3 linked regions of the Rattus norvegicus genome follow. The protein of the gene in region 2 interacts with the protein of the main gene of each other region in a pairwise test. Links are inferred from orthologs where the notes say so. Each region holds a gene or a part of one and is shown on either strand. Other genes may lie near its edges.

Region 1 (5,982 bases), on a different chromosome or scaffold from region 2:
AGAGACCATGGCCCAAGGCCAGTAGGGAAACCAGAGGGGCAGGGTGGCTGGCCTGGATCTCTCCTCAACCCCACTCCTTCTCAGCCTCCATCTCCAGATGGAGTGGGAAACAGAGCCTGTTCTCAGTTCCCCTTCTCTCAACTGCCCCAGACTTTGGGGGTTGGCAGCAACAGACAGCTATGCTGACACAGATGTTTGTCAACAACTCGGGAAATCTCTTTAGTGCTTAAAATAAAACCAGCATCAAACCTGTCACCACCACCCACCTCCCATGTTTCCTGTTTCTGAAGACTGGAGCCAAGGCAGCCTGCAGGGAGGAAACACTACCAAGGACCCCTCCCCTGGGGGGAGGCAGTCAAGCCATCCCCCAGGTCACCCTTTGTGAACCCAGGGAGCCTTGTTGCTCCACTACACTGGGGAAAACTAAACAGGGAGAGCAGACAGAAGGGAGGCCACAGCATCCGTGCTTAGCTGCTCTGCTGGCCCAAGCACTGGGATACGGATCATTTCAAACCTTCCGGAATACAAGGTCCCAACCCCAAGAGACTTGTACCACCTAGCTCTCCACTGAGGCACAGAAACAAGACTGGCCTGTCCAGGGTCACCTGGGGTCACAGGCAAGGCCACCACTCTGGGCTGTTCTTGCCTAAGTCCCTCTCAGCTCCAGACCCTACTCTGGGGCCTGGTAACTGAGAGTCAGGGTCTTCTCTTGTGGGCATCCCTTGGCTGGGGATGCCTTTCTCTGAAAGTCCCTTCCTTTCAGAAAGAAACCACTCTCAGCTCTGGTTCCACTCACTGGCTGGCTGCCTCCTCACCTACAGAAGAGCCTGCAGGCTTCTGGAGAAGGTGAGGATGTGCTACTGGGAGGTCCCAGGTGTGGCCTGCCTGCACTGCCTTAGAAGAGTCACTGACCTCCTGCATACCAGATCTTAGTTCAAAAATCGTTCCATTCTGAAGGCCCTACCCCAAGACTTCCCACACTTCTTCCCCTGTGAACAGAGAAGAGTCCGAAGCTCCCGACCTTGAGAAACAAACATTTGTGTTTATTAGCCACAGATAATTCAGAGCGTCAGGCTCCTAACCAATCCCTCCTATAGTCTACCCACCTAGGCCAACTGCCAAAGACCAGGAAGAGCAGCAGACAGGCCCCATCCTTTCAACCTCCTCCCCAGGGTGAGTTCCCAGGAAGCCAGGGCCCTTTGGGTAAGGAAGAGGAAGTCAGCAAAAGAGGACAGACAGGGAAGAAGGAAATAGGGTCTGGGGCAGACAGACTTGGCAAAGCAATTGATTCCCAACTCAGTGGAGAGTAAGCAGCCCAAATCCAGTCTCACCCGAGGAACCACGCAGAAGCATACTTGTGTCACAAACCTTGTTAGGGGGTGGGGGAGGCCAAGGGCAACAGCAAACCTCTGCAGGTCAGTCCTTGCTTGCCAGAGGATGCTGGTCTAGGTCTAAGTCTTGGCCTCTACACTAAATTCACCCAAGGGTCTCTGGGTCTGCAGGAAGGCAGCCAATGGATACAGGAAAGGACAAAGTGCCAACTGTCTCTTCATGATGTCCTTCCAGGAGGCCTGAGTCCAGGAGGCCTAGCCCTCTGTGGTGGGAGGGTCGCGTGCCTGCCGCAACCCATACAGCCACTTGATCACACGGGCATTTCGCTCGATCACAGACACCCCATAGGGGACCCGCTCTAGGGTCCGCTCTTCCACTGTAGCAGAGCTGCGGCGTGAGCAGCCCCCTTCAGAGCTGCAAGGTCCAGCACTTGGCCCGGCTAGCGACACGATGTCCGAGCTAGCCCTTGCCAGGTGGGCCACCCCCAATCCTCGTGCTTCCTCTGGGTCCAAGCCGCAGAAGTTAAAAAAGCGCTCAAGATCGGCTGCTGCCCTGGAAAAGCGCTCACTCAGGTCCGACTTGGAGCGTTGCAGACCAGGGGGCCGGCCCGGGCTGGAAGTGGTAGCGGCGCCAGGTGATGGATAGGGGCGAGCTGGTGAAGCAGGCAGGGGACGAACATCCACTCGGCGCACAGCGACAGTACTAGGAGGCGGACGAGGAGGGGTGGCTGGTGGGACCTTGTGGGCAGATCCTTCTGGCCGTCCAGGTGTTCGGTTGGCCTCAGATGGGGACACGGGACTATCACACAGGTTGATTAGGCTGCTAAGGATGTCTAGGTCCAGTTGGGGCCGGCGACCAGAACAGGGCAGGACTCGGCGACTGGGTGTGAGCACTGGGCCGCGAGAACCTGGGCTGAAGAGGGGCTGCCTGGCGAGCGGGGGCTGCACAGGTTCTTGGCGGGTGTTGGCCACGCGCAGGCTCTTGACGTACTTAGCCTTATCAGCCTCCAGGCGTTCCACAGCACTCGGTTTCCTGGCTCCCCCATCTGCTGGCCTTGGTAGCAGGTAGCCGGGGACCTTGGTTCGCAGGCGAAAAGGTAAAGCGGGAGTGGTGGGGGCTCCCGGGCTCAGCGTGTCCACGGGCATGGCCGTTACATACCCCGAGGGCAGAGGCGAGAAGACAGATACAGGCACAAAGTTGGCAGCTGGATACGGGGCTCCGCTGCAAGCAACGAAAGAAGACAGGCTGAGCACGTTCAGACAAAGGCTCACTGGCGGCGAAGCCTGAGCTATTATAAGGTAAAGGACACGCCCCTGCCTCTCACAGAGCCAATCACCAGGCAAAATGTACTCCGGGAAGGCCTATGGCCCCACCCACGGCATTTCCCTCCAATAGTGGGCGGGACCCGCACAGCTGAGGGAGAGAAAAGTGGTAGAGAAGCCAGGTCCACTTTAAAAAGGGTCCTCTCGGTTGGGGATTTAGCTCAGTGGTAGAGCGCTTGCCTAGGAAGTGCAAGGCCCTGGGTTCGGTCCCCAGCTCCGAAAAAAAGAAAAGAAAAAAAAGGGGGTCCTCTCAATGGCTCCATTTAGGGGTTGGGAAACTGAAGCTCGAGGGGCAATGGGTTTGCTTAAGCCACCCCTTACTTCCAAGAGAGGGGGCTACTAGCGACCGGGCAGTTGGGGTTGAATGACCATCATCCACATCCCACCTGAACTGCACAGAGATCCAGATACCACCAACATCCCGCAACTAGCCCAGGCAGGAAGCTGCGCAGTGCCAACCACCTGCCTGGACATGCCAGGCCCACAAGGGGCACAAAAACAAAAGGCTGTGAGAGAGAGAGGCAGAAAGGCCCCACCCCCACCCCGTAGAGTCCAGATTAGGGTAGTTTCCAAGATATGGCTTCAAGGCCAAGCCCATGGAGATCCAGGCATGTGGACAGGCATAAACATCAGCCCCAAGCTATGCCGGTGCAAAGACCTATCCAGGTCACAGCCCCACCAAGTGTTATGCTGCTGACCAACCACCATGACAGTGCTCATGGGCTGCAGGGCCCATGTCTGGGTGCTCAAGTGTCCCCATGGTTATCTAAGAGTCAGATGTTAGACCATTACAGCAAGTCAACCCTGCCATCTCTGTTTCCAAGGAAAGAGGGTCAGAAAGTGCCAGTTTCCCCATACCCAAGGCCCCTCAAATATGCACAAGGTAAAACCCATATTCCAAACCAAGGGCATCTGCAGTTGAGATCACTCAGCAGCCACTAGCCATACCTCAAGTTCTCCATGGTCACATGGGACGTGGTACTATACCAGACAGACTGGGCCAGAGCATGCCCAAACACAGAAGAGCCTCACCGGAACAGCCAGACATCTCAAGACAACGCTCTCCACTGTGTGCCTGTGTGCCAGACGCTCACAGCTACTTTCCTACCACCTCCAAGAGCCTGAAAGCCACTGTTACCATTTTGTAGCTGGGAAAACTGAGACTCTGGGAAGTGACTTCCTTAGGTCACAGAGATTTAAAAAGCAGACTCCCATGAAGCCTAGCTTGAACACACTAATTCCTACCACATCACTTCTCCACGTACCACACAGACAGACAGACAGACAGACACACACACACACACCCTATATCTCGTCTCACTATATCCATTGGTACCATATAACTTACTGTGGATATGAATCTTTCTTTCTTTGCTGTCCCCAACTCCAAAAATGTCAGCTCCACGAGGGCACAGGTTTTGGCTGCTTTGTTCACTGAGTCTCAGCTTCATGATGTGGCTCTCAACACATGCTAGATATTCCACAAGTGTGTCCTGAACTAAAATGCTCACGGGAGTCAGCTGAGGACCAGCACACCAGTCAACTAGAGTGGCCCCGCCCACCACAGGCGGATAGGTCCAGGGTGAGGGGTGGAGTGTCACTAGCACCAGCAAACCAAGACTAGCTTTCTCTAGGTTTTTAACTGTGAGCAAATTCCATCACCATTTTAAAACGACAAGTAGTACAGGGCAAGCATAGTATGTCTACAGATCTATCTGCTCTCCCCAGCCCCCACGGAAGTTTTGGGGGATAGGAGGAAGGCTTCTCCCAAGGCTTAAGAGGTTGTTGGGCAGAAAAAGAAGGCTGGCCCACACAAACAGACCCTCAACTGACCTTAAGTGGTTTAGGTCTAGCCAGCAGAACTGTTAAGAGTCCTGTTCAGGTAGCCAGATCCTGCCTCACCTCCCTAGCCCCCACATCTGCTCTGCCACCCAAACCAGTCCAACCCGTTGGTGGTGGCTGAGGCAGTTCCCTCCCCGACATCACCTGGGAAAGAGGAAGGAGGTCAGAGGGGCAGGGCTAGGGCAGAAGCTCCCCCCACCAGCACCTTGCTTTTATACCCACCACCTAACACTACAAAGAAATGGGGGGGAGGCAGATTGTGTTCCCAAGCCTGGTCTGGTAGACACCAGGGTCCCCGTTCTCCCACCAGCCTTGCACCTCGCACAAGAGGCAGCTCTTAAAAGACTGTTCCTCTACCTATTAAACCCAGTTAAAAATAGACCTCCCTGTGCCTTCGGGTCACCGCTGGAAAGATCAAACGGGTTCGCAGCACCTGAAAAATGGGCAGCGCTCCCGAAACCAGACGCACTGTCATAAACTGAGGCTCTGACTGTGGAGTTGGCAGACTCCGCCCCCTCCGAGGGTCTCTAAGTCCGATCCTGGAGGGCAGGACCTAAGCCCAGCAGGGACAAAGGAGACAGCTGGTAAGAGCTAATCACAATGAGCCAGCCGATCCGCACCAACACACGTCACAGGGGCCCCTCCAAGAGGAAACTAAGATCCCGGTCGCCAAATGAGATTTAACGTCTCCCTTGAGGTCTCTTTTCACCGCGGGCTTCCAAATGCTGCCGCAAATGGTCCGAAAAGCACCAACCTTGAGCCTTTCTGGTCACTATTCCAGTGCCGTAGCCCGACTTCGTCCCTCCCTCAGGCTCCCAAGGAGTAAGTAGATCAGGGCTCCAGGAAAGCCCCTAGTTTTGGTTTCGAGTCGTCCTCACTTGGAGGCAATCCTGGAGACTCAGGCGGTGAGGCTTGAGCTGAGCTAAGACTGTGTGACCCCCCTCCCCTCATCTGCTATCTCTCTCTGAGCAGGAGTCGGCCCTCGGCTCGAATACAGACTGAAGACAATCCCTGATGTGCCCCTCACCCCCAAGCACCGCAACATACCTGGCTGTGCAAGCCGCCTCCTTCCAGCAGCCTGCACGCCTCCCGCCCACCTGGTTCAGGTAGCTGGCTTTTGCGCAATTTCCGGGGCCTGGCAGGTGAACCTGCCGGCTGGGAGTGTTCCAGGAGAGGGAAGGAGGGCCAGGCAGTGACCGAAATGGGCGACAGACAGCCCGGTGTGGAAACCTAGCCGGAATAGCGCCCCCAGGCTCACCCAGCCGGGCTCTTATGCGACTTGGAGCCTGTACAGCCGGCAACACAGCTGATGGAATTGGGCTGGGTTCTCTCTGATGTCCCCGGCCAGGCACGGGAAAGTGCTCTTTCTGGGCTTTTAATCTTTCCGTGATTAAACGAGGTGCAGTGAGCATTAGTGTGGTCTGGGTAGGCTTCCTATGAGGCAACTCCATTGTCATCAAGCTGACTAATGGAAACCCCAGTCAGG
Region 2 (6,564 bases):
CCCCAGCTGCTTACATAGAGAGGAATGTGCTTTTGGCTATTGGCGGTTATTCCTAATCAGCTCCCATCTGTTTCTACCATTAGGTACTAGCTCAGCGAGAGTCTCTTGACACTCAGCCCATTGGATACATTGAAGAGAGAAGCAGGTAGCCCTGTCCTGACACTGACCCAGATTTGACTCCTGTTCTTAAAAAACAACCCCTGCTTCAGAAGCTATGATGACATCCTCGTAAGGACAACTCTGCCCTCCACAGTGCCACAGAACCTGTCCCCACAGAACCTTCTGGCTGCTCTTCTTTTTAGCTTCACTCCTGTCTTTATCCACATGAGCCCTCAAGCTGTGTTGGCAACTGTTGGCTGAGTGTGTGCAGCTCTCTCCAGTGGGTGCCTGGGTCAGTGTTGGGTAGGCCCATGAGCACTTACCAGTAACTCCACCAAGATCCTGATCACCAAACAAGGTGGCTCCCATCCCAAGAGCTGTTGGACCAATTGATTCTCCTTTGTTGGAACACTGCATACCTTTTAGCACCAGCCTCATTTCTTTGCAACACCTTTGGAAGGCTGGTCTCACCATCTTCTGGCACCTACACCCCTGGCATTGACATCCCACTCGTAAGACAGCTTGGGAAATTTGTGTTTGTGGCTTCCCCTTGGACTTTGGCTGTGGTCCTGTGGACGGGCTGCAGCCCATGCTCCAGTCCTGCTGCCTCTGTCCTTCACGATACTTCACGCAGGGCGATCCTCTTATCTCTTGTTCTTAGCACAGGGACATGAAATGTGACGGGGACAGACCTCGCAGGATATGTCATTTAGCCCCTCTGTGCTTGGCATCCTCTCTGTATCCCTCCTTATCTTTTCTTTCTTACCCATGTGGGGTCACAGCCTAGGAACGAACCGTCAAACCTCTCTGTACTCACTGGGAGAAAGGCTAAAGAATATCAATAATAAAAAAAAAAAAGCTTTGTCCAATTCCGGTGTGTGTGGGATAGAAAGAGACCAATGACTAGCTCTCATGCCTGGGATGAGGCTGGCATGGTGAGTACTGTGGTCACTGTGGAGCTGGGAGTCAATGATGCCCAGAGCCTGATGGTGGTGGCTTTGGCAGTGTCCTATGACCTCTCTGCAGAGCGATTCGCTTGGGTACAAATAACTTTCCAAGATGCAGAATTTTTCCAGTCAGATCCATTTCTCAAAACTTTTTTTTTCTTTTTCTTTATGTGTGTCTGTGTGAGCATCTGCATGCATGTGTCCGTGTAAATGTCTATGTGCACGTGTCTGTGAGCCCATGAAGGGCGCTGAGTCTCTTGGAGTTACTATTACAGATGGGTATGAGTGCTGGGATTTGAACTCCAGTCCTCATGATTGAACAGCAGGCTCTCCCGGTCACTGAGGCATCACCAGTCTATGCTTGTTTCAGGTTTAAGCAAATTTAGCATCCTTGCAATGGACTAATGTAGTTGTGGACCAGAATCACACGCTCTCACGTCATAATCCTAAGGCAGGTCTGGGCCTGGTACAGCAGCCACCTCTTGCCTTTGAGCTGCTCTCCTAGGATGATGCCACAAGGGCGAGCCAAGGGCTGGTGACGTAGCCCAGTTAGCAGAATGCTTCTCCAGCATGCTTGAGACCCCGAGTTGACCCCCAGCACCACATAAATGGGGATAATGGTGCTTTCCCCTCAACCCAGCACATCGGATGTAGAGGCAAGAGGATCAGGAGTTCAAGGTCATCCATGGCGAGAATGAGTTCAAAGCTAGCCTGTCCTACTCAAGAACCTGTCTTTAATAAGGGAGAAGGAAGAGATTGTTCTCTGGGGAAAGCCACTTGTCACCAGTTCTGAGGACCTGAGTTGGATTTCTGGCACATGCTGCAGAAAAAGAATTTTCTTTTGTCCTGTGACTTCCACTTGTGCTCCAGGTTGCACCCACCATTCCCCCTAAGTAAATAAGTGTAGGGTTGCTTTTTTATATAAAGGCTGGGCAAGAACAAATACGGGGCAGACATATGGAACAAGATGTTCTCTCTCTCTCTCTCTGGTCTGCCGTTCCACTTCTGAATCATGGAGGAGGGCCGGGTCACTGGCTAAGCCTGTAGAGGAAGCGATGACGCAGTCTACAGGTCTGTCCAGGTCTTGCCCCCCACCTGGGCCCAGGTATGGCACCTCTCCCACAGGCTAGTTTACACTGCGTTTCTGTTTGGAAGAAGGTCCCAAGCCAGAGCACGGAGACCAGTGTTCGGAGGAGCCTTTTCAGTGACAGCGATAGAGCCCCACACGCCACTGGCCACCCATTCCTGACAGTCATGGCCACTCAGTCTGGGACAGCTGTGTCTCGCCTTACATGAGCTAAATTGGGAACTGGAATGTCACAGCGGTGCCCCTGTGTCCCCACCCCCACAGTAACATTAGTCTCTCTCGGGAGGAACAAACAGTGCTGCCCGCAGAGCGAGCAAGAGGGTGGTTTGGGGAGACAGGAGGAGAATCTCACAGGGAGAGAGAGATAAACTACAAGTGCCTGGTGAGGGTTCCGAGCAGACAGAGTGTCTGGAAATAGCCCAGGGAGAGAGGAGCTGTTAGAGGAAGGGACAGGAAGCACCGCTCTTTCCAGAGGGAGCAATATCAGGGATCCCAAGAATCTACAGTCAGCCTAAACTGACAGCGGAAGGGCGCGCAGGCAGGGGGAGAGAAGGCCAGCAACAGGGCCACAGCAAGGCACCAGAGCACCGCGGGATGAACTTCACGGTGGGTTTCAAGCCGCTGCTGGGGGATGCACACAACATGGACAACCTGGAGAAGCAGCTCATCTGCCCCATCTGCCTGGAGATGTTCTCCAAGCCCGTGGTGATCTTGCCGTGCCAACACAACCTGTGCCGCAAGTGTGCCAACGACGTCTTCCAGGTGGGCTGGGACAGGTGGGGGACGGTGGGGGACAGGTGGGGGTCGGTGGGGGACAGGTGGGGGACAGGTGGGGGATGGTGGGGGACAGGTGGGGGTCGGTGGGGGACAGGTGGGGGACAGGTGGGGGACAAGTGGGGGATGGTGGGGGACGGTGGGGGACGGTGGGAGTCGGTGGGGGACAGGTGGGGGACAGGTGGGGGATGGTGGGGGACAGGTGGGGGGTGGTGGGGGACAGGTGGGGGATGGTGGGGGACAGGTGGGGGATGGTGGGGGACAGGTGGGGGATGGTGGGGGTCGGTGGGGGACGGTGGGGGACAGGTGGGGGACAGGTGGCGGATGGTGGGGGAGAGCCCACCCCTGGGAGCCGGTGAAACTGCCCTGGCTGAGAGGCAGGAGAGTTGAGGGTCCCAGAGTAAGGTCCCAGAGTAAGGTCCCAGAGTCAGCATGAGTCAGCAGCTACCCTGAGGCTGGTAAGCATAACCTGTGTCTACAGCAACTAGAAAGTGGGGTCCACCCAGCACAGCAGAAACTGGAAAGGAAGATCGATGGTCTCGCATGGGCTTAGTGGGAGCTTGGACTAGATTTCATTCATTTTGAGGCTTTTATATGTATATGTATATACATATACATATACAAACACACACACATATGAGAGAGAGAGATAAATTTTTTTAAACAAACTCTGGAGAAAAGATCAAGGATATATTGAGATCTTTCTCTCTCTCTCTCTCTCTCTCTCTCTCTCTGTGTGTGTGTGTGTGTGTGTGTGTGTGTGTGTGTTAGCTAGTGTGGCTACCAGACCTCAACTTGAGTTTGATTCCCAAAACATAAATGATGGAAAGAGAGAACTGACTCACAAAAGTTGACCTCTGACCTTCACTTATATGAACACAGACAGACAGGCGCACACACACACACACACACACACACACACACACACACTTTAAACAATAACCTGGTGTGGTGGTGTATGTATGCCTGTAATTCGAGCACTTGGGAGGCTAAAACAAGGGGATTGTCATTGTTTGGTTTTGTTTCTGAGTCAGGGTCTCTGTAACCCTGGCGGCTGTCCTGAAGCTCACTATTCAAACCGGGCTGACCTTGAACTCACAGAAGATCCTCTTGCCTCTGCCTCTCTCGTACTGGGATTAGAGACATCGCTGCCATGCTAGCAAGTGTCACCTTATTTACATAGTGAATTCTGATCCAACTTGGGCAACAAAACAAGACCGTTTCAAAAAGTAAATAAGAAAGAGAAAACTAAAATTAAAAATTGTTGGGGCTGGGGATTTAGCTCAGTGGTAGAGCGCTTACCTAGCAAGCACAAGGCCCTGGGTTCAGTCCCCAGCTCCGAAAAAAAGAACCAAAAAAAAAAAAAAAAATTGTTGGTAAACCGGTGAGAAATCCTTCCATACCAACAGAACTGTGTGTATTTGAGGCAGAGCCCTCTGTCCCTGAGGGGTCTGATAAGACACAGTGGGCCACAGCAGGAACATTCTCTCCAGTTTCACACCGGTGATCCTTCCTGACCTAGTAGGAGATAAATGGTATCCAGGCGACTTACAGACAGACAGACAGACAGACAGACAGACGGCAGAAACAAAATTGTACTTCCCAGAAATGCCTGGGTGTCTGTGGTCATGAGGCCAAGCATAACTAGGTGAAGTCACAGCACTATTTTATCTACACATCTCCAACGCAAAAACAGAAGAGCTGAGCACGGCTGCAAACCCAGCCCTTGGGAGGTTAAGGCTGGCTTGGGCTGCATAAGACGCTGTCTAGCCAACTAACTAACCAACTAACTAACTAACCAACTAACTAACTAACCAACTAACTAATCAACTAACTAACCAACCAACCAACTAACCAACCAACTGACTAACTAACTAACCAACTAACTAACCAACTGACTGACTAACTAACCAACTAACTAACTAACCAACTAACTAAATAAATAAACCAGAGTCCTTTATAAGTTCCTAGGCTTGCCTCCTGGCTCTGTGTCTTGGTAGAGGTCTGAGTAGTTTATGACTGCATCAGAGGTCAGGGAGAATGAAGGAACAGAACTCACATGTACAGACACCGGACCTCACAGATGAAGTAACCTGGATTCCTCAGAGCTGGCTCTCCTGGTGGGCAATCTGTGATGGGAACACCAGGAATACACTTCTTGCCAGGAGCCAGCCTGGGATCCAGCGAGGAAGGAGCACCACAGGCTGGAGGCTAGCCTGCTCTATGTAGCAAGTATACCTGTATACCTGTAGAGTAAGACCCGTCTCAAAAGAGGAAAAGATAACTGTCTGGGGCTGAAGAGAGGACTCGGTGGTCAAGAGCATTTGTTGCTCTCCCAACCAACCCAAGTCCAGTTCCCAGCATCCACGTGGTGGCTCGCAACCATCTGTAACTCCAGTTCCAGGGGCTCTGATGCCCCCTTCTGACCCCCATGGACACCATGCATGCAGGCAAAATACATACACACAACATAAATCTTTAAAGTAGAAGAGTAAGAGTTCTCCCTCCTTATCACAGTGTGAGGAAATGAGTTGAGCACAGATTCCCCTCCCCCCTCTTCCTTCCTCTGGTGCTGTGGTTAACCAGGGCCTTGTGTGCATGCATCCTGCCACTGACCTATACCACAAGCCCCATACAGGCTATTGTTTTTAAATATTTATTTGCCATCCATATGTGTGCACATGCCTGTGCATACAGGTGCCCATGGAAGCCAGAAGAGTGTCTTAGGTGCCCTGGGGCTGGAGTTGTAGGTGTTTGTGAGCGATTATGTAGGTATTGGGAACCAGACTCTAGCCCTCTGAAAGAGCAGCGTGTGCTAGCAACTGCCAGGCTGCCTCTCCCACCTCCTCAGTGGATCTTAGCTTCACTGAGATTAGGCCTCCAGGTTTCTTGGTACAGCATATTTGAAGGCAACGATTGGGCTAAGTTAGGACATCATAGCATGTGTGTATGCCCCATCTGTCTTCTGCTCCTTCACTGAGTAGCCAACACCCCAGAATTTCTCCTTCCATTGTCCTCTTCAGGGTTCCTTTTATTCTGAGCATCTAAACTTGCTATTGTTTGGGACTAGAGGCCTGGATTTCTCTGTCTTGGGGCCTAGATTGCATGTTGTTCTGACCCTGTCTCAAACCAACAAATAAAACACAAATTTCTTGCCACCTGTGGTGGTGTACTCCTGTAATCCTAGTATCCAGGAGGCTGAAGCAGCAGGATTGTCACGAGTTCGAGGCCAGCCTGTGCTGCATAGCTAGTTCTGTGTAAGTGGCTATGCCTCCCCATGGCTCACGTTGGGAGGAATAAGTTTTCTCCCTCCACTCTGTGGAAGGCGGGGATTGAACCTCAGGTCGTCAGGCTTGGCGACAGGCACCTTTACCCACTGAGCTGTCTCCCTGGCCCTGAGGTATCTCGCTATTAGAAGCCAAAATATGTGAAGCCAAAGAGAAGTTTAGAAAACTAAGAAAAGTATTCTGTAAAAAGTAGCCCAGAGCTGGACATGGCAGCACATGCCTTTAACCCCTGCACTCAAGAGTCAGAGACAGGTGGGTCTATTCCAAGTTCCAGGCCAGTCAAGACTCTGTAGCGAGACCCTGTCTAACAAACAAACTCGAGAATGTTGACTTGAGAATAATAAAGTTTGTAGCACAGACTACGAATAGC
Region 3 (5,982 bases), on a different chromosome or scaffold from region 2:
GGTTGTGTCCACTGCAATAGACACCCAGAATGTAGGCAAAATCTCAAGCCAGGAAGCACTTCTCATTCGTCTATATTAATAGACCTGTGAACTTGCATACTCTGTCCTCTTAGTTCCTCTTATTCCCCTTCTTACCCCTGAAGGAATCATGGAGGGAGCCCAGGCCCCACTTTTATCCAGAGACTCTGACAAAGTGAAGGTTTCTACATGGGACAAAAGTAGCTGAAACCTCAATGGCTAAGAATAGCAAGGTTGATAGATTGGAGTTTGGAAGAAGTCTCACGTGGTGCTGACATCTCGTACATCCTGCAAACGAGAGAAGAGCCATTGATGATCCTGGTTGGACAGGGTGGCCCGCAGCTGGGTTGAGTGTTGGAAATGGTCTACTGCTATGTTTAGACTGCGCAGGTAAGATGCCTCGGACACAATCAGCTCAAACTTGGCCTAGACAATTGGAAAAGAGGAAGATTAAGGAATACTTTTATGAAGTGTCTGGTAGATGGAAGTTGCTGAACAATGTTTTAGGGTTGAGCACTGAATTAGCTACATCTTTTGATCACTCACAGTAATAAAACTTAGTCTGGGAGGGGTACAAGGAGTATTTGAATATGACAGAGTCAATCAGGGGCTGAATAACATGAACAGAGCCTTTATGTTTTCAAGAAACTTAAAGATACATTCATACCCATACATAAATAACTCTATGATATCACAGGTATATTAATATACCATATGATAGTAACAATTTTACCAACAAAGAGACTCATAATAAGTAGCTAATATTTCAAACACAATGAAGTTTACTTTTAGAAAAGTAACAAATAAGTTGAGCATTTCTAGAACTTTTATTTAAAAAAGAAAAAGAAAAGAAAAAATAAAAATGAAGCTGGGGGTTGGGGGGTAGAGTGAGGGGGAGGAGTAGGAACGAGGCATGAGGCCTGGTGGACCATGTAAACAATGCAGCACGTAAGCTTAACGAGATGTGAAAAGGTAGAATCGTTCATCTAGCTGAGTCACTTTTTGGGTTTGTTTTGTTTTGTTTTGTTTTTGAATGAGAACACCTTTTAGCAACCTGTGGAAAAGTCCAGAATAGGTAAGCGCCATGCTGGGAAGTGGGGTAACATGTCTCGATGGGAGACGAAGGCCTGTCACTCATACGCCTGTGGAGAAGTGGGTTTCTCGAGTCATCAAACAGGACTTGGAAGATGCTGCTTATTTGCTAGAAGTGGGGCGTAAAGAGAAGGAGCAGAGGCCAACACCCTACTTTTGATTAGGCAATGGGTTGGGTTAGATGATGGAATCATGGACTAAGCCAGAGAGCTCTGAGTCAGGGACAGAGGAAGGTGACAAGCTCAATTTGATGTCTGAGGAGAGATGGGAATAAAAAGAAACGGGATATGTCAAAGAGGATGCTACAGTTGTGGTTTAGAAGGGAGTCAGCACTTAAGAATGTGCACGGAGGCTCCAGCAGGGGGCGCAGTGACTCACAGACGTGACCAGTGGACCTCTTTTCCTTCTCAGCATGGTCACTCAGGCCACTCGGAGAAAAGTAAAATAGGCGTCCCTTGCTGGTCGATGAAATAGCCAGCTATACAGCTTGACTTTCTTTTTTTAATTTTACTTTTCTTGAATATTTTATGTATTTACATTTCAAATGTTATCCCCTCCCCCTCCCATACCCCTCTTCCTGCTTCTCTAAGGATGCTCCCACTCCCACCCACCCACCCAACCTCAATGCCTGGCACTACCCTACATTGGGGAAACGAAACTTCACAGGACCAAGGGCTTTTCCTCACATTGATGGTGGACAGTGCCATCCTCTGCTGCATAGGCGGCTGGAGCCATGGGTCCCTCCATGTGTACTCATTGGTTGGTGGTTTAGTCCCTGAGAACTCTGATGGGGTCTGGTTGGTTGATGTTGTTCTTCCTATGGTGTTGCAAACTCCTTCAGCTCCTTCAGTCCTTTCTCTAACTCCTCCATTGGGGTCCCCTTGTTCAGTCCAACAGCTGAACTTTCTATACAACCCTAAACCATGCTACTGCAGGCTTATTCACAACGTAACCATCAAACACCACATGGCTTAAAGTAGCCCATTTAACCTTCTGAAACTTGGGATCTCTGTGTTGTTGTTTTGTCTTTTTATATAGATAGGGTGACTACCCCACCACCACAAACACACTTCAGAAAACACGATTTTCAAAAGGAATAGAGTCTGTGAAGGAACTCTGTAGATTCCCAAGATGCTATTTTATTAACTTAATATGTATGTATGAGGTGGTAAGACAGAGGTCTCTCTTCTTGCAAAGTCAAGAGGGATCGGGGCTAGAATCAGGGTCCTTGTGACTTCCTAGCTCGATGAAGACTCAGAGATCTCATTTCATCTTTCCATTATTTGATCAATAAATATAGGACAGGTTAGTGATTTTCTAAACAGCTGTATTTTAAAACTTGTAGTGAAATTATAGCTTATCCAAGATTATCTCACTAGTTGAAGCTAGGCCTACATCGTTTAAATTCAAATAGTCAATATTTTCCGACTGACTGTTCTGAAGTAAACATTTATCTTTCTTGTTCTCCTAGTAACTCTTTGTATCTGTCTTACAAATGGCTTGGAGACAGCAAGTGATTTGGCCAAAGTCAAACAACACATATTAACAAAGGCATCATGTCTCCATCATTGTTATAGAACCCAATTACTTAGATATTACTCTATCCCACTGTGCCCTCTTTTCTCCTGGGATGAAAAGTTCTACCTCTTCCTTCAGACAAATATGAAGGCAGAATCTGCCCATGAAAAACTTACTAATGGTCACTGCTTAGAACCAGAGAAGCAGTGTCTCCTGAAATCTTAATCCTGGGGATGACCAAGCAGGGATAAAGCCTAAGTGAGATCCAAGAACCAAAGGACAACTTCCAGTTTGTCCTCTTCAAAGGAGCCAGCACAAATGAACATGTGGCTTGTCTGAAACATTGTAGATGTGGAAAGGAGATTATCAGCAATGAAGTTACTCTCACACCCCTCTCAACAGGCATGGTCACTCTGTATGAGTCCAAGCCAGGACAGGAAAGAGTAGATGGCACATGCACGAGCAGGGGAAGAAGGACTATGCTGAAATTCTAGGGCACTACACTTCTTCAGCATGGCAGTGAGCAGTCACTGTGTAAACAGGTGAGTGTGGGGTGGGGACAGCCTGTTCATGGTGGCAGAGGTGAGGAGGAGATAAAACATAAGTGAATATGACTTTGTTTCCCCAACTTTCCCTTGCGCATCCCTGGTGGTACCTCTTGCAGTTTTTGATCTTCGTGGGTCATGGAGAGCAGCACTGTGCTATTGCGCACCACAGGGATTTCCTGCCAGAGGGAGCCACTGGAGGCCATGGAGAGGCGCTGTAGGTAGGAGTCTGAAGAGACCAGTGCCTTTCGCCGATATCGTGGGGAAGAGATCCCAGGTGGCTCGGCCAGGCTGTCTAGCCGCTGCTGGCTCTGAATCTCCTTGTTGAGAACAACATCACTATACTCCTGATAAAGCAGCTGAGCTATGGGTGAAGATGAATAAGAAAAGGAGAAAATCCTAAGAAAACGAAGTGAGTAGAAGCTCACTGCCAGACACTGCCATCTATGGCTGACCTCTAGCAACCCTTTTCTCTGTATACCACCATTCAATTGCTGGCAGTCGTGAGGCCCTGACCCATTTTAGGCAGAAAGCACACACTAGTCTATAGATCTGTTTTAAAGTACTCACAGGAGTTGATGAGCTTGGAGCAACGTCTTGAAAAACCTCCCATCCCCTCCTTTGGTTTCTTCTCCCTGTGGAATAGGCAGGCTTTGAGATATTTACTGACTGTGAGACAGCAGACCCCCAAGTGACTTTAGATTAAAAACTCTAACCTTCCATACACGTGCTGAAGGAAAGCTACTTCAGTCTGTCCCCATCACTGGTCCTTCCATTCAACCCTTCTCCCTTATCCCACAGTCCATGAGAGACCCTGAGGACTTGGCGAGAACTTAGAAATGCAGTAGGGTATCTCAAACAGTAACTCTACTTTGTAACTCAGGGGTCATTTGGATAGTATGTGAAGGAGACTGATGGATAACCATATGCCTTAGGAAGACAACAGGTAACTCATCAGACACAGCAGGCAGAACTGGGCAGGTACAAACGCCTTCCTTCCCTGCAATCCTGATGCCTCTTTCCTCCTCTCCTTACCTTCTGGACATAGAAGCACCAACAATTCTGGGTCCCAGAATCTTTGTCCACAGAATTCTTAGTAAGGAAATCTTAGTGTCATAAATGAAGACAGTACAGTTGAGTTAGCGAGAAGACAGGGCAACTCACCGGAAAACAACAGAATCTGAAGAGCCAGGAAGTCTCCCCGCAGCTGGATTTCGTAAATCTGAAAGGTGAAATGGGCAGCACAACAGGGACATTTAGAGTAGGTGAAAGGATGAACAGGAGACACAGCTAAGCAAAGGAAAGAGAGTTCTACTGGAATCTGAAAGAGAAGACAATACCAAAGATATTCTAAAGCCCAGTACCCAGTACCCATGCGTCACTGGTCCTCATGTCGGGATAGGAATTCCAGAAGATATATTAGCTATGCTCCCCAGTCTTCATGCAAGATAGGAAAAGCACAAAGAAAGGGCACTTTAAGATTTTCAAAGGGGAGAACGTGATGGTATAGCAATGGAGGGAGTCTAGCAACTTCAGGAAGAGGTGGACTTCAGGGGAAATAGGAGACGGAAAAGTAAAAAATGAGGGGGAACATTCTAATGGGATCATAGTGGGTCGTGAGTTTCTGAGTTGACTATGTGATGCAGGGGAATGACGCTGCAGAGAGAGCAGTAGAGATCCCTCAGATGGAAGATTTAGAATAAAAAGCTTTGTATAACATTAATGGTTCTGTTGTCTCTGCTCCTGACTTACCTGAAGAGCTCTCAGGCAAAATTGAAGGTCTACGAAGGCCCTGCCGGTTCCAGCCCTTTTGCTTGTTGGGTGCCTGGCCCAGGACAACCTGTTCACTGCTACTCTCTGATGTCCTTGCTGTATCCCGTCTGTGAGGCCAGCTGGATGCCTTTTCCAGTTGGTAGTGGATAGGTTTTTCTGACTTCTTTCTTGATCCTAAAGCTGATCTCCTTGTATTATTAAATTCCTCCTGAAGGGCTGGCCTCCTAAATGATCCTCTCACTGGAGGTGCAGACTCTTCAGTGAGCCCTGACTCATCCTTACTGGTGGGTATCTGAAGCTCTGGGCTCCAAGGAGTAGTAGGGGAAGAGGGACTTAGAAGGTTTGTCATGTTGCTGAAAGCCAGACCAGGGGACACTTCACTATTACACCTACTGGTGGGAGGCAAAGATTCTGTTGATCTGCCTGTGGCTGGGGGCCAGGAGGTCCGTCCAACAGAGAGAGTAGAAACTGTCCAATCTTGACCAGTAGTTCTTGGGTTGGCTTGACCCATTGAATGCATAACTCCTACCTGGACACTCCTGCTTCTTTCCCTGGACTTTGGGGGTAATGGGGGTGGTTCAGAGGAAGGATCTGTGATAGGGACTGGGGGTAGAGGCCTGTATATCCTTGAGATATTAGAGGAAGAGATGGATGAATGGCAGGGCTCAGGCATATCAGGAGTTGGGGGTAATGGTTTGTTGTATCTCAGCCTGGAGGGGATGGAGGTCTGAGTATGGTGGGAGCCTTCTGGGGTGGATGGCAGAGGGCGGTGCTGCCTTGCAACAACAGAGTCAGGAACTAGGGAAAATGAGCCTTTAGGAGACCTATGGAGCCCTGAACTTAGGGTCAATGGAGGAGGATGACTATGCCGCTTCAGTGTGGCAGCTACTTCATGAAAAAGGCCATCTCTTTCCACTATGTGACTGTAGCTATGTCTCTTCTCTGGGGGAGGAGGGGGCAAAGCTTCATGTATCATATCCATGGAAACAGTGGGTGGAGAAGAAACATTCACAGGAGAGCCTATGGCAAAGGCTGA

What was found.
Region 1: the proteins of Trim54 (region 2) and Fam110a interact in binary tests that used the Homo sapiens proteins (3 or more experiments, as listed by UniProt). The two-hybrid records come from large-scale screens. The link is inferred for Rattus norvegicus from reciprocal best matches to the Homo sapiens genes TRIM54 and FAM110A.
Region 3: the proteins of Trim54 (region 2) and Arhgef5 interact in binary tests that used the Homo sapiens proteins (3 or more experiments, as listed by UniProt). The two-hybrid records come from large-scale screens. The link is inferred for Rattus norvegicus from reciprocal best matches to the Homo sapiens genes TRIM54 and ARHGEF5.

What each region holds. Positions count from the first base shown.
Region 1 is NC_086021.1:160,933,793-160,939,774, forward strand, and holds the end of Fam110a (protein FAM110A), read right to left. Parts: exon of another isoform or gene 5,954-5,982; coding exon of another isoform or gene 5,544-5,953; exon of another isoform or gene 5,181-5,543; intron 5,064-5,180; exon of another isoform or gene 4,930-5,063; intron 4,175-4,929; exon of another isoform or gene 4,003-4,174; intron 3,916-4,002; exon of another isoform or gene 3,617-3,915; coding exon of another isoform or gene 3,603-3,616; intron 2,554-3,602; coding exon of another isoform or gene 2,478-2,553; coding exon 1,587-2,477; 3' UTR 1,023-1,586; downstream 1-1,022.
Region 2 is NC_086024.1:30,974,455-30,981,018, reverse strand, and holds the start of Trim54 (tripartite motif-containing protein 54), read left to right. Parts: upstream 1-2,543; 5' UTR 2,544-2,727; coding exon 2,728-2,895; intron 2,896-6,564. Other genes in the region: Dnajc5g (dnaJ homolog subfamily C member 5G), read left to right, coding at 84-149. UniProt on the Homo sapiens protein: May bind and stabilize microtubules during myotubes formation.
Region 3 is NC_086022.1:73,096,371-73,102,352, reverse strand, and holds part of Arhgef5 (Rho guanine nucleotide exchange factor 5), read right to left. Parts: coding exon 4,926-5,982; intron 4,396-4,925; coding exon 4,338-4,395; intron 3,809-4,337; coding exon 3,744-3,808; intron 3,538-3,743; coding exon 3,284-3,537; intron 445-3,283; coding exon 284-444; intron 1-283. UniProt on the Homo sapiens protein: Guanine nucleotide exchange factor which activates Rho GTPases. Strongly activates RHOA. Also strongly activates RHOB, weakly activates RHOC and RHOG and shows no effect on RHOD, RHOV, RHOQ or RAC1.